Linked DNA regions of Schizosaccharomyces pombe. Changing the gene in region 3 together with the main gene of any one other region gives a genetic interaction. Each region holds a gene or a part of one and is shown on either strand. Other genes may lie near its edges.

Region 1 (5,426 bases), on a different chromosome or scaffold from region 3:
GGGAGCACGTTCACCATGTCGAAATATGACTTGTAAATATTTCAGTTGCAGCTGTTTTGGATAATCGACTCCGGGAACTGAATCCGGGAATTTAACAGAAGCTGAAGACATTTGAGACATGGCGGCTAGGAAGTGGTTGATGATGCTGGATAAGAGCTGCTGTCAACTAAGGTCTCAATGCTTGAACATCATCGCAAAGCTCATATAAAATATGAATTACTGAATATTAACGAAACGACACTATTTGAAAATTAGTTTTGTTTATGAAAAGAAAACAATAAAATATAAAGTTAATTCAATCTTAAAAAACTGTTAGGAAAAAATTAAAATGAAAGTCATTATGAGATATAACAAAAAAAAAATACCCAGACAGGGTTTCTCTTTAGCTTTCTCAATCAAAAATAAAAGATAAAAGACGCAACCACCAAAACTATAGATAGGTTTAAAAATTTTAATGAGTGCAGTTAAAATAGGAGAGACAAGAAAGCTAGAAGTTCAATATATTAATTATTGTTCAAATATACATACAAATTTGTCATCATCATTAAAATCATGTATACCAACAAGCCCCAGTAAGCCTCTCAAATTAACCATCTCTGTTAAGAAAATCAATTAAACCATTTTTGATAGAGAAATGATTACGTTTAACCATAAGCACATAGAAAATATCTCTGGTTTCACCAGTATAAACAGCGTTTCACAAAAAGCATCACCAGATTAAGTATAACCTACATGTTTTGACGTTAAATTATACGCCAAAAAAGAAGGGAATTCAAAAAAGTTATTAACGCTACCGTAAATTTTTACTGATTCGAGATCGCTCCAAGAAAAAATTTGATATATCTTCCTTGGTGACAACCCTATTTTCACGAGCAAATGGAGTGAGGAAGTCCGTTAGCTCAGATTTTAAGCGATTATACGCATAAACGCTTTCGTTAGCTTGTACACGAGGAAGTCTGTCCAAAATACGAAGGACATCATTCATTGTGCTAGATATGACTTGCTCAATCATTTCTCCAGATTCACTGGGATCCTCATTCATCTCACTGATTCCATCCTCAGAATCCTCAGGAGGTTCGTAAATAGGTTCTTCTGCCACCAACATTGGCATCTCCAAATTACGCAAACTGATGCAAGATTCACAAGGGCACAAATTTTCCCTAAAGTTTTCTGAAAGAAATAGAGGCGCTCGTTCTGTACCAGCTATGCTTTCATGCTTCTGGTTTAAAAGATGATCGCGGTATTTTTCTGAACATTCTGAACACACCAACCATTCAAAAGTCTCAGCATCTGGGATTGCAATTCCTTTATTAGTTTTCTGCAGACACTTTTCGTGAAACCAATCTTCGCAAAGGATGCATTGAAACATAGTTCCTTCCTCTGTCTCTGGATTATACACCGTATCACATATGCAAAATCGCCCTTCGAAATTATGATTATAATCATTTTCTGAGCCACATTCATCAACGGATTTCCGTAAATTACAAGGTATGGAGTGGGTTCTTGTGGTGCCACAATCACATCGAAAATGTCGTTTATTGAATAGGTCCACAAGATCATGGTCAGCATGGCAGCTAATACTGCAGCTATAGCAAACAGCATTTAAGCTTCCGCTAGCTTTTTGACATGTCAAACAAGCGTATAAAGGTTGCTTCAAATAGCCCATCGAATAAGTGCACGTGTCAAAGCTGTAAGGCAAAACTTCTCGTGCCTCCCTTTCAAGCTCCCTTTGCTGTTCAACATATTGCTTAACCGTTAATTCATGAGCCGTTTCCTCCATAAGTTATTAAATGCAACTAAACGTTGGCAAATAGACGGCGTAAACAATTGCGAAGAATGTCTTTTGAATAATTCAAAACACTAACTCATTACGCTCCTCTATTTCATTTACAGGTATCACTACATTTTCCAATACAATTTAACAATATACTGTAGCATTTCTTATTCTTTCATCCTGCAATACTCTAGCTATTCAATGCATTAAAATAGTTAGAAACAACATCTTTAAAGTATTTGAGTCCAAAGATGGATTCTTTTCGGAAAAGGGGTCGCCGCGATTCTGAAAGTTTACCTTTTGAATCAGAAAATTCTTCTCTCGGTGCTACACCTCTTTCTTTACCTCCTTCTTCACCTCCTCCAGAATTCTCTGATGAAGCTGCAGAAGCTCTCGTGGAGGAGGATATTGAGGATCTGGACGGAGAAGCTTTAGATGTAGAGGATGAAGAAGGTGAAGATTTGTTCGGAGAAGGAATGGAACGGTAAGTTTTATAGCTATGCTTGAGACGTGTCTTGTCAATGTTGTGTATACTAAGTGTTGCCATCAATATATAAATTACATACTATTTCTTCTCCTTCTTGTAAATAAATATATTTATTGGATTCCTAGGTTGCGGTTATATTGACAGAACAAATCTTGATTTTCAAAAGAGTAGTTTCACATTTCGCGTCAAATAAGGTACTTTTTTCTAACTGTATAGTGATTATCAACAAAATTTGGAGCTAGATCGTTATGACATTGAAGAACTAGATGACGATAACGATCTTGAAGAATTAGATATCGGGGCCCGAAGAGCTGTTGATGCCAGGTTGAGACGACGTGATATTGAGCTCGATGCTGCTGCAGGTAGAACAAAACCTGCTGCATTTTTACAAGATGAAGATGATGATTTGGACTCCAATCTTGGCACAGGCTTCACTCGTCATCGACATCGAATTTACGACGAATATTCACCTAATGTTGGCGCATTGGACGAATCTGGTGAACTTCCTCTTGAATCAATTGCCGACGTAAAGGCCGATAGTATTGCCGAATGGGTTACTCTTGATCCTGTTCGGCGTACAATTGCTCGAGAATTCAAAAATTTCCTTCTTGAATATACAGATGAAAATGGCACCTCTGTATACGGTAACCGTATTCGCACATTGGGTGAGGTTAATGCTGAGTCGTTGATGGTTAATTATGCCCATCTTGGTGAATCTAAACCCATTTTGGCTTATTTCTTGGCCAATGCGCCTGCACCTATTTTTCGCATATTTGATCGTGTTGCTTTGGAAGCCACTCTTTTGCATTATCCAGACTATGAAAGAATACACTCTGATATTCATGTTCGTATCACTAATCTTCCTACTTGTTTTACTTTACGCGATCTACGACAATCCCATCTTAATTGCCTTGTACGGGTATCTGGTGTCGTAACTAGGCGCACTGGGCTTTTTCCACAATTAAAATACATTCGGTTTACATGTACCAAATGTGGTGCTACTTTGGGTCCATTTTTTCAAGACTCTAGCGTTGAAGTAAAAATTTCTTTCTGTCACAACTGTTCCAGCCGTGGTCCGTTTGTAATCAACTCTGAACGGACTGTATATAATAACTATCAAAGGATCACTTTACAAGAATCACCTGGCACCGTCCCCTCAGGTAGACTGCCTCGACACCGTGAAGTTATTCTTTTAGCGGACTTGGTTGATGTTGCCAAACCAGGCGAAGAGATTGATGTTACTGGCATATACCGCAATAACTTCGATGCTAGTCTGAATACCAAAAACGGGTTTCCTGTCTTCGCTACAATTATAGAAGCAAATCACATATCGCAACTTGACGGCAGTGGTAATACTGATGATGATTTCTCTTTAAGTCGGCTTACTGATGATGAGGAAAGGGAAATTCGGGCATTAGCAAAGTCGCCTGATATTCACAACAGAATTATTGCATCGATGGCGCCTTCTATTTATGGACATCGCTCTATCAAAACTGCTATTGCTGCTGCTTTATTCGGTGGTGTCCCCAAAAATATTAACGGTAAGCATAAAATTAGAGGTGATATCAATGTTTTATTGTTGGGAGATCCAGGAACCGCCAAATCTCAATTTCTTAAGTATGTTGAAAAAACGGCACATAGGGCTGTCTTCGCCACAGGTCAGGGTGCCAGTGCTGTTGGTCTAACTGCATCCGTCCGTAAAGACCCCATTACGAATGAATGGACTTTGGAAGGGGGTGCTTTGGTTTTAGCAGATAAAGGTGTTTGTTTGATTGACGAGTTCGATAAAATGAATGATCAGGATCGTACTTCTATTCACGAAGCCATGGAACAACAAAGTATTTCTATTTCTAAGGCGGGTATTGTGACTACCTTGCAGGCGAGGTGCACTATTATTGCTGCCGCTAATCCCATCGGTGGACGTTATAACACTACAATTCCTTTTAATCAAAATGTTGAGCTGACCGAACCTATTTTATCTCGTTTTGACATCCTTCAGGTCGTCAAAGACACGGTTAATCCTGAAATTGATGAACAGCTAGCTAATTTTGTTGTATCAAGTCATATTCGATCTCATCCTGCATTTGATCCGAATATGGATGTCTTGAAGAAAGTCCCTACTGAGACTGGTATTGATGCCAAACCCATTCCCCAAGATCTTCTTCGTAAATATATCCATTTCGCTCGTGAAAAAGTTTTTCCTCGATTACAGCAAATGGATGAAGAAAAGATTTCGAGACTTTATAGCGATATGAGACGCGAGTCACTGGCTACTGGAAGTTATCCTATTACTGTGCGTCATCTGGAGTCTGCTATCCGTTTAAGTGAAGCATTTGCAAAAATGCAGCTCAGTGAGTTTGTGCGCCCTTCACATATAGACAAAGCCATTCAAGTGATTATTGATTCCTTTGTGAATGCCCAAAAAATGAGTGTTAAACGAAGTTTGTCAAGAACATTTGCTAAATATCTTATTTAATTTTTTGACACAATCAGTTTATGGAGTCCAGTGATTTTGATTTCCCCGTTCTTTGACCCTCCTTTTGTTACTGCATCTGTTGCATATATCTATCCTTTAATAATTTGCAATCAAAATTTGCTTTACATTTTTATACCTATCTTTACATTCATTCTTTCTTAGTTTTCAAAATGTCAATCTAAATTATTTAGGTTAATAACACTTGTTTTGAATATCATTATTGACTATTCGCTATAGATACTAGGTGTATAGATACTTTCTCCGCTGTATCAATATTATTAGCTGTTTCATTAAAGAGCCACTGCCCATGTGAAATGACATTTTTTGAAACAGCTGAGGTTTTTTACATATAGAGCTAAATTGTCCATTTCCAAATTTAAAGGGAAGTCAACTTTTGACAATCGGAAATGCATCCAGTTCATATCTGATGTTCCTGAAGAATCTCAAATTTCACACTTTATTATCTAAAATTATTTATATCGTGTTACTCTTTCAAATCAGTCTTTTTATTTGGTATATATTTTGCCCTACCCTTACCTACTTATATTCGTACATCCACCAAGTAAACTTGACACAAAAACAAAATGGCCTATCCCGGGCAGTTTGGAAATTACGGTAATCCTGAGACTTATAGGCAAAATGTTGCTGGCAATATTGCTTCATATGGGGGCCCTGAAATTGACACTCAG
Region 2 (4,757 bases), on a different chromosome or scaffold from region 3:
TAATCTTTCATAATCGTGGTACCTTGTGACATAAATTTTCAGTCATAACCATTTAAAGATAGTCCTTGATTATCTTTTTTTTTAATATTCCTATTAGCAAGACTTCACCGTTCATTAACAATATAAAAGGAACTAAAATATCATGTCGGATATAGTTTATGCCAACGTGTCTCATTACAACAAAATAGAAGCATCGAAATATGACAATCCAAGTACCTTGGCGATTTCCAAAGTGATTTCTTCAAAAATTTTACAGTTTGAAGACAATTCCGAAACCAGCCTAAGACATGATCTCCCAAAATATGATCAAGATAGGCTGCTTTTAACTTCGGATGATGATTTGACAAATGTAAATAATTTTTGGAAGAAAAGTGGTATGAGTATATTGGATTTTGCTTGTGGAACTGGTTTAATTAGCCAACACCTGTTCCCTTACTGTAAACAAATTGTTGGCATAGACGTTTCCCAAGACATGGTGGACGTTTATAATGAAAAATTTAGAAAGATGAACATTCCCAAAGAAAGAGCCTGTGCATATGTTTTAAGTTTGGATGATTTGGATGGCAACGGCGATGAACCATTTTCTACTGAATTTGATGCTGTTGTATGCTCCATGGCATATCATCATATCAAGGACCTACAGGAAGTGACTAATAAGCTTTCTAAACTTTTAAAACCTAATGGTCGATTATTTGTCGCAGATTTAATAAAGGGGGGTGATACTTTTCATGGTAATTTGCATCCTGATGAAATAGCTAAGCTTGGCGTAGCTCATCATGGTGGATTTACTCCGCAATCAATTTTGAATTTATTCAAAAATGCATCTTTGTCAAACGCTGAAGTCATTGGTAAAGCTCAGGCAAATGTGTGGGTCGATGAAGCTAAGTATCAACGGTCAACCCAGTCAAAAGACGCTAAAACCTTAGATTTAGCTAACGGAGAGAAGCTGTATGAGGTAAAATTACAGCTGATGGTTATTAGTGGTATCAAAACATGATCCCCTTAATTTTTAATTAGGGATAAACAAATGAATGGTCTGGGTACCCGATTTTAGAAGGTGAAGCAATCAGACCAGGAATTGCTTCATTTAAACAAGTATTGATGTCCATTAAATTGATAGCTTATGATAACTTATAACACTGTGAGTCCCGGTGATTCATTTAAACGAAACTACATACTGAGCATTCAGAAAGGACTAAACTTCATTGAAACGACAATTTCGAATATGATCAACCAAATATTATGTGGGATTACAGGCTTTTTTTATACAATACTGGAAATTTCGTTATATGATTTTTCTTCATAAGTTGGTTTCAAAAGAACTGGCCAACTGTTGTCACAAAGATTTTAATATTAAGCGCAAATTTGAATAGACAACGGAAACTAGGCAATCTCTTCCACCAAATGTAAAAAAAAGTTCGACGTTTAAAATTTAACTGTTCAAAATACCCCTTTTAAATAAGTTACTATATGCATTTGAATACTGTAGACACATCTTTTATGATTCTATATAGACAAATATCGTAAGTTTATATTATGTAAATGAATTCGTGATATCGAACGTGTATACTCATTAAATTAGCGCATCTATTTTAACCTTTTATTATTCAAACTGCAGTTATGTTGTTTACCTATAGCATGTGTAGTATAGAGAGGATTTAATTTTGCACATTATGCTTGTTTATGCACTACATTTTGCATCCTTAAACACATGTCCTTTAGATGTCCGCTAACTGTTTACATTCCTATATGTTTAACCGCGATTTTTAAGTATTGGAAAATAAGAATATCTTGTTAAAAAGATTTATAATTATTACTTGCTTCCTTTTCCAGGACTAAAGAATTTCCTGTTTTTGGCACTAAACTTTTCAACAATATCTTCGCATTTCAAAATACAAATGTGGCAGTATTAAATTTATCCTGTTATTTGTTTTGGCTACTCATACAATAGAGAAGAAAATTTTATTGATCAGAGTTTTTTTAATTTCCTGAAAAGCTAGTTTTCTAGGGTTGGGTTGAAAAGTTTCAGTATTCGTGAGAAATTGACTATATCTAACAGGCGGGGGGTTTTTTTTATCATTGACTTTGGAGGTTTAAGATTAAGAGGAAACCAAGTTTAATTAATGCAAGTATGCATGATCCCTTCATTGCAGAAGAAAATGACTTGGACCTGGAAGAAAAGAGGTTACAGAGGCAGCTAAATGAAATTCAAGAAAAGAAGCGTCTACGAAGTGCTCAAAAGGAGGCTTCTTCGGAGAACGCTGAAGTTATTCAGGTTCCAAGATCTCCTCCTCAGCAAGTTCGTGTCCTTACAGTCAGCTCGCCTAGTAAACTAAAAAGTCCCAAGCGATTGATATTAGGAATCGATAAAGGAAAGACGGGGAAAGATGTTTCATTAGGAAAAGGGCCTCGAGGGCCTCTACCAAAACCATTTCACGAACGACTTGCAGAGGCAAGGAACCAAGAAAGGAAGAGGAGCGATAAATTGAAAACGATGAAAAAAAATAGAAAGCAATCGTTCCAGAGGAAGCGAAACATACTTGAAGATGGAAAAAGTGAAGAGGAGAAATTTCCTATGAAATGTGATGAAATCGATCCTTATTCAAGACAAGCCATTGTTATTCGATACATAAGTGATGAGGTTGCTAAGGAAAATATAGGGGGAAATCAAGTTTATCTCATTCACCAACTACTCAAACTAGTAAGAGCTCCTAAATTTGAAGCGCCAGAAGTTGACAACTATGTAGTTATGGGCATTGTTGCCAGTAATAGTGGAACCAGAGAAACTGTGAATGGGAATAAATATTGTATGCTAACACTGACTGACTTGAAATGGCAACTGGAGTGCTTCCTGTTTGGAAAGGCGTTTGAACGATACTGGAAGATCCAGAGTGGTACTGTCATTGCGCTTCTCAATCCTGAAGTACTAAAGCCAAAGAACCCAGACATTGGACGCTTTTCTCTGAAGCTGGATTCTGAGTACGATGTACTTTTAGAGATTGGTCGCTCCAAACACCTTGGCTATTGTTCCAGCCGAAGAAAAAGCGGTGAACTATGTAAACATTGGCTCGACAAGCGTGCCGGAGATGTATGTGAATATCACGTTGACCTCGCTGTCCAGCGGTCCATGTCTACGCGAACGGAGTTTGCTTCAAGTATGGCGACTATGCACGAGCCTCGCGCACGACGTGAAAAGCGATTTCGTGGACAAGGGTTCCAAGGATACTTTGCTGGGGAAAAGTATTCCGCAATTCCTAACGCAGTAGCTGGTTTGTATGATGCAGAAGACGCCGTTCAGACCGAGAGGGAGCGCAAGGAACGATACAAAAAACAACGAGCGCAGGCTGAACGCGAGCGTGAAATTTTGGTGCGATTATCGAAGCGATGTTGCGCTTCCTCTTCGTCTAGCTCTAACTCGAATAACCTCTCTACGGGAATGTCGATGCGAACACTCGGCCATCAGTATCTAAATTTACAAGGTTCCGGCGTTAAAAATTTACATGACAAGGGTAATCCCACTGCTCTTTCTAAAGATAGCGAAATTGATTCATCGACGAAAAAACCATCCGTTCTGGCCTCTTTTAATGCATCTATAATGAACCCTAAATCCTCTCTACCATCTTTTTCTAACTCTGCTATTCTCGGCACTAACGATGCGGCATCAGGGACACCCGTTCCACAAGATACTACATCCACCAAAGTTTCCCCAGCGGTAGTGTTTACCTCTTCGCCGAGGATTTTTTCCCCCCAAAGTCTACGAAAAATAGGTTTCGATCCAACGCATTCCGCAGATGCATCTACAACGCACTCCACAGCGACTGGACTTTCACGATCCGGCTCCCTAAAAAATATCAAATTCCGATATGAATTTACTGAGAGTGATGATGAGGATGACTTAGAAATAGTTCCCTGAATTTTACGTTGTTTTTCTATACATTATGATGAAAATTAATTATTTAAATTACTAACCAACTTACTAATTAATTAGCTAGCTAATGGATATAGCTATGATTTCAAATGAATGTTCTTTTGTTTACATGCGACACACTTTGCTATCATGAAACTTTCAACCCTTTGTTAAACCTTTCTTCTAAATCCTAATCCTTAGTAAATCCCAATGGAATATTTGAAACGCTTATTAAACACAGTCGCTCTTTTCATTTGTGATGTCAACTGTTTGAATTCAATGTGCGAAGTCTCCCTTTTTTGTTCTGCTAGCTTCTCTCTCATACAAGAACGGCCGTTACAGCTTTTGACATCACATTGTTTATTAATCAAACGAACGTAAGCTTACTTTCATATGGTATGATGGGCTTGTAAGCAATACTAAGATAGCCAGCCAAACTGAGGTACTGTCGACACCTTTAGCTTACGATTGCTTTCGTCTAGGTATCGGACTTTACACTGCTAGTCGCCTATTTTAACGTTGCGCCGTATGGAACGGGTATCGCATTCTTATCAGTAAGGAAAGCTATCTGAATTCGTCACAAAGGAAAAGGCAAATAAATAGTCTAAAACTATATAAATGCGGGCTTCCATCTAAGAGACCTCGCCATCCAACAATTGTTGCGTCCCACCTAAACAGTGTCTAATCAAAGTCAATTGCGAGACATTCTAAAGTAAAAAGTTAATACATTTTAGCTACTACTAAATACTTCTTTTGATATTCTTTTTAGTGAACAATAAAGAATATTGGTTTGATCAACACGGTCATCTTCAGAAAAAAAATTTTTTATTCGTTGGTTTAATTAGTTAAG
Region 3 (4,336 bases):
TAATTCAATGGGGCTGCCAACTTTGTACGGAAAAATTGGAAACAGAAATCAGACTAGGATTTATTACACGTTACTATTGTTAGGGGTTTTGATATTTTATATGACTTGGGGTATTACTGATTTTAATAATCATCAAGACTTTGAACCAAGACTGGTGCCATTAAACTAAATAATAAAAGACTCCGGCTTCATCTGTGACTTAGCAAGGCGACATACTAAACCACTTAACTGCAACAAGGTTTGCACACCCTCTAAAATAATCATATGAGTTTGGCCAATTTCCTTAAGCATTTCTAATCTTGAAAATTCCGGAATACTGTCCATTGTCTTTACTACTCTAAACATATTAGTGACAATGTCCACAGCACTGAACCCCAAATCCCATATTCCCTGAAGTTTTTCAAGGGCGACGTCGATGTTTCCAGATTGACAAGCAGTTAGCATGGCATGTATCGCTACAGGTGAAGGCTGATCGGCGACCCGGAAAACGTTTTCACCGTTCACAAGACCGAATCCAGCAACAGTGCTCTGTAGATTGTTCACTGCTTGACGCATATCACCTTCTGCTGTCATGATAAGGGCAGCCAAACCATCATCTGTATAATTGACTTTTTCCGCTTTACATATATTCAATAAACGCTGTAAAACCTGTTGATCCGTAAGACGTGAGTATCGGAGAATTGCACACCGCGATTGAATAGGTTCAATAATTTTGTTGGATTGATTGCAAGCAAGTGCAAAACGCGTTGTATTACTGTAGATTTCCATAGTTCTACGCAAAGCTTGTTGAGCTCCAGCCGTCATACTATCTGCTTCGTCTAAAATAATGATCTTATGCCTTCCAGGTGGCAGTATGACTTTTTTCTGTGCGAATGCTTTAATTCTATTTCTCACTACATCGATACCTCGTTCATCTGAAGCATTTAATTCTAATACACCTTCCTTATATGCTGGGCCAAGTAATGCATGTGCTAAACAAAGAATAGACGTCGTTTTTCCGATACCAGGCATTCCCTATAAATATAAGTCAGCATGTAGTATAAATAATAATTAAAAAAAAATAGGTTACCGAAATAACTAGATGAGGCATATTCCCTTCCTTGGCAATAACTTTAAGTCGGTCAATCGTCTCCTCGTTACCAACAATGTCATCCAGGACGATTGGACGATACTTTTCGACCCTATAAGTTTATAGATCAGCATACTATATTATATTGAACCTTTAAATTATGAAAAGATGCCTGAGTCACCAAGAAGCAATCGTAATAGCTGAACACTAAAACCTTCATAAAGGACGTTTTAATTGCTCATAATATATACATACCATGGCAGCTCATAAGCTACAGAGTTATTTTTCTCTCCAAATACTGATGATGATACTGCATTACTCATATTCAGTGTTATTGAACTAGTAACATCAGTACTGAGTTCCAGTGAACTAGTAAATTTGTTGAGTATTTTAACCACTGCATGGTAGTCACTTCACCCATCGCGAATAGAAAAGAGCATTAATATGTAAATCTGAAAATTTTTTTTATTCTTAAATGCACTATCAAAGCTAGCTTTAAAATATATGTTTGTACAATCGACACAAATGATGAAAACAAGCACATCAATATATTTATATTATTACAAAAACGATCAATAATCTGTAAAATTCTAATATTTTTCTCTTTTAAGAGTAGTAATAAGCAATAGATAACTCTTTAAATTCACGCCTTCTGTTTCTTAATAAATTAAGCTTCTTATTAAGCGAATTTATACAGCAATTAGTACATCGTTAGGTATATGCAACGCCATAGAAAAGGGTACTTAAAGTCAATCCGCTCACGTGAAATGAACATTGCACATTGCAATATCAACATCTTTTATCATTACTGGTTTCAATAGGTTTAAAGGATAAAATTATATATTTATAATATGGTAATTGCTTTATCTGATTCTTTTATCGAAAATCCAAGATCGTTTCTTCAAAGATTTCAGGATGCATTGTTTGCAGGATCTAAGCCCGATTTACAAGGCACTTTAGGCATCGATGAAGAAGTTTCTAATATTTTCGCTACAGAGGAAAGAATAAGAAAGGTTTGTTAAGTGGTTTTTTCTCTTATTTGACACTGAATATTTAGATTCCAAACTATCTTGACTGCAAATGGTCTGAGTTAAAGACTGGTCAACTACTTCGTCTTCAAGGTATGGTGCAAGACACCAATTTTGGGCATGAATTTTTTGCTGGAGCTGTAGAGGTAAATGAAAACATTTGGAGAGGCTGTAGATACATACTTGATTTCAGCGAAGATGAAATGCATTTAGATGAATCTAAAATTGTCCTAGATGAAAGATATTCACTGTTTCTGACAAATGTTCCTGGAGAAAGAACTCTTCCTGTTATAGAAGCTTTGGGAAACTGGGGAAGCGAGAGTCTGAAAGAACGGTCATTGAAGTACTCAAACCGCTTACAAGCAAGTAATGATACCGGCGTTTGTGTTAAATGCTATGGCGGAATGGAAACTAAAGTTCAAGTTTGTCAAGCAATCGATGTTATTGGAATTTATGAAGAACCAAGTGAATACTCGGATGGTTTACCCATTTTACACATGTTATGTTTTAAGGATTATACGCAATCAGCTACTCAAGCCCCTTCTCCTCAGCAAGCTGAGATCATTCGACCAAAAATATTAAAATATTTTGAAAAAGTCCTTGGTGAAAATATAGCTGCGGAAAGTCTTATGCTTGCTCTTCTTTCCAACGTTGTTCATAAAACCACTGGTTTGGTTATAGGTGGTTTTACTTTAAATTTAACAAATTGCACCTCTGAATTAGTGTCCCAGTTAGTTTCTGTGTTACGGCCTTTGATAAAAAGAATGGTGATTCAAAAAGTTAATGTCGCCGAGCTTAACAGGAAGCCGCTTTATCCCTTGAGTGATGGAGAGACATTAGATACTAGCCATTTGCAAGTGGCTCCTGGCACCCTTATAGTTCTTGATGAAACTGAACTATCGAGTGGAACCTTAAACGATGTCGGATGCCGTAACGTTCAGTTTTTGTCTTCCCTAATATCTCAACAGGATTTAACATTTTTTTATCCTTTCAGTTCTTTTACCGTTCACAGTAATGTTCGAATAATTATATTAAGCCATGGAAGATCTATTTTGCCAGCTGATGTCGGTTGTAGATGTAGAGGCGATTCTCCGGACACTATTGAATTTCCAACTGATTCGGATGAGCTGCAAGAGTTTTGTAATTTTTTTCACATGTGGAACATGCGTGCTAATATTCCCGAAAACATGCTGGATTATATTCAATCTACATATGTGAGCTCCCGTCAATATAATAAAGAAATCAATGAAAAAACACTTTCATTACAGATCAATTGCTCTCGTCTCTACGCGAAGAGTTTCGGTCGTCAACTGGTTTCAAGAATTGATTTTGAGGCTGCCCGTAGTCTAATCAATCATTGGACTGTCAACTGATTGATCGCATATTTTCTTATAATCAACATCATTTAACCAATGTTAGAAATTACTTTTCATGTCTTTTTGGAATTTCCAAGTTAATTTCCTCATTCATTCGATCAAATTCATCAAAAGTTCATTTATATTGTTATTTAATTATTACTACAAGTAAAGCTCACTTGCCCGTTTTTTTTTTGTTTTCTTACATTATCACATACCGCACTGCCATATACTTCCTTATCTTCAAATATTAAATTCAAGTTTTGCCAACCAGGCGTTTGCAGAGATTCAAGGAATAAATATAATTCATTGTATTTTTAGCTAAAATTTGATTTCTTTGTCTTTCAAATACCTATACGGAAGCAGTCATTGCATATAACATATGTGTAAATCGACGGTTTAGGCAAGCAGTCTAAAAACTCAATGAACCAGGCGAACTTTTTACAGGAGCTTCCAGTAAGCCCAATAATAAGATATTTACAAGTTAACTAACAAAATGAATGTTTAGAATGTACTAAAGCGACTGGAAACTGGTCTTATTATACCTCAACTGAAAGATATACTTCGTGTTTTTGGACTTCGTCTTTCAGGAACAAAAGCTGAGCTCATTACCAGAATTAAACAACTAATAGAGAGGATAGCTATAGAAAACAACACAACCTCTTGGGAAGCATTGAAAAAGGCAATCGATGGCGATGTTACAAGTGCCGTATGTATCTTAAAGTACAACACATATCAGATATATAGTGCTGCTGCTCCAATTGCTCCACCTAGTTCAGCTTCTGGAAATAGATCATACAGCCGTCCTTTCGCCCCAGTTGTTCATTCGCGAATACGATTTCGAAAAAGTCCCTTTTATGACATTTTGGAACAATTCAATGCAC

Evidence for each region. A genetic interaction does not mean that the proteins touch.
Region 1: mutations in mcb1 (region 3) and mcm2 are lethal when combined (synthetic lethality), as found in Schizosaccharomyces pombe (one study listed by BioGRID).
Region 2: mutations in mcb1 (region 3) and cdc23 impair growth when combined (synthetic growth defect), as found in Schizosaccharomyces pombe (one study listed by BioGRID).

Annotation. Positions count from the first base shown.
Region 1 is NC_003423.3:1,190,708-1,196,133, reverse strand, and holds mcm2 (MCM complex subunit Mcm2), read left to right. Parts: upstream 1-1,991; 5' UTR 1,992-2,025; coding exon 2,026-2,258; exon of another isoform or gene 2,259-2,477; coding exon 2,478-4,737; 3' UTR 4,738-4,926; downstream 4,927-5,426. Other genes in the region: SPOM_SPBC4.06 (acid phosphatase), read right to left, coding at 1-120; ubiquitin protein ligase E3 component mlo2, read right to left, coding at 791-1,780; COPII-coated vesicle-associated protein Sfb3, read left to right, coding at 5,322-5,426. UniProt on the Schizosaccharomyces pombe protein: Acts as a component of the mcm2-7 complex (mcm complex) which is the putative replicative helicase essential for 'once per cell cycle' DNA replication initiation and elongation in eukaryotic cells.
Region 2 is NC_003423.3:4,077,308-4,082,064, forward strand, and holds cdc23 (MCM-associated protein Mcm10), read left to right. Parts: upstream 1-1,749; 5' UTR 1,750-2,131; coding exon 2,132-3,913; 3' UTR 3,914-4,257; downstream 4,258-4,757. Other genes in the region: SPOM_SPBC1347.09 (hexaprenyldihydroxybenzoate methyltransferase), read left to right, coding at 143-997. UniProt on the Schizosaccharomyces pombe protein: Required for DNA synthesis. Required for entry into or completion of S phase. Involved in DNA replication and seems to participate in the activation of the pre-replication complex (pre-RC) and in transcription elongation.
Region 3 is NC_003424.3:904,964-909,299, forward strand, and holds mcb1 (mini-chromosome maintenance complex-binding protein mcb1), read left to right. Parts: upstream 1-1,833; 5' UTR 1,834-1,920; coding exon 1,921-2,082; exon of another isoform or gene 2,083-2,126; coding exon 2,127-3,470; 3' UTR 3,471-3,836; downstream 3,837-4,336. Other genes in the region: rce1 (CAAX prenyl protease), read left to right, coding at 1-169; DNA replication factor C complex subunit Rfc4, read right to left, coding at 166-1,014, 1,070-1,181, 1,325-1,392; SUMO E3 ligase Pli1, read left to right, coding at 3,876-3,908, 3,961-4,336.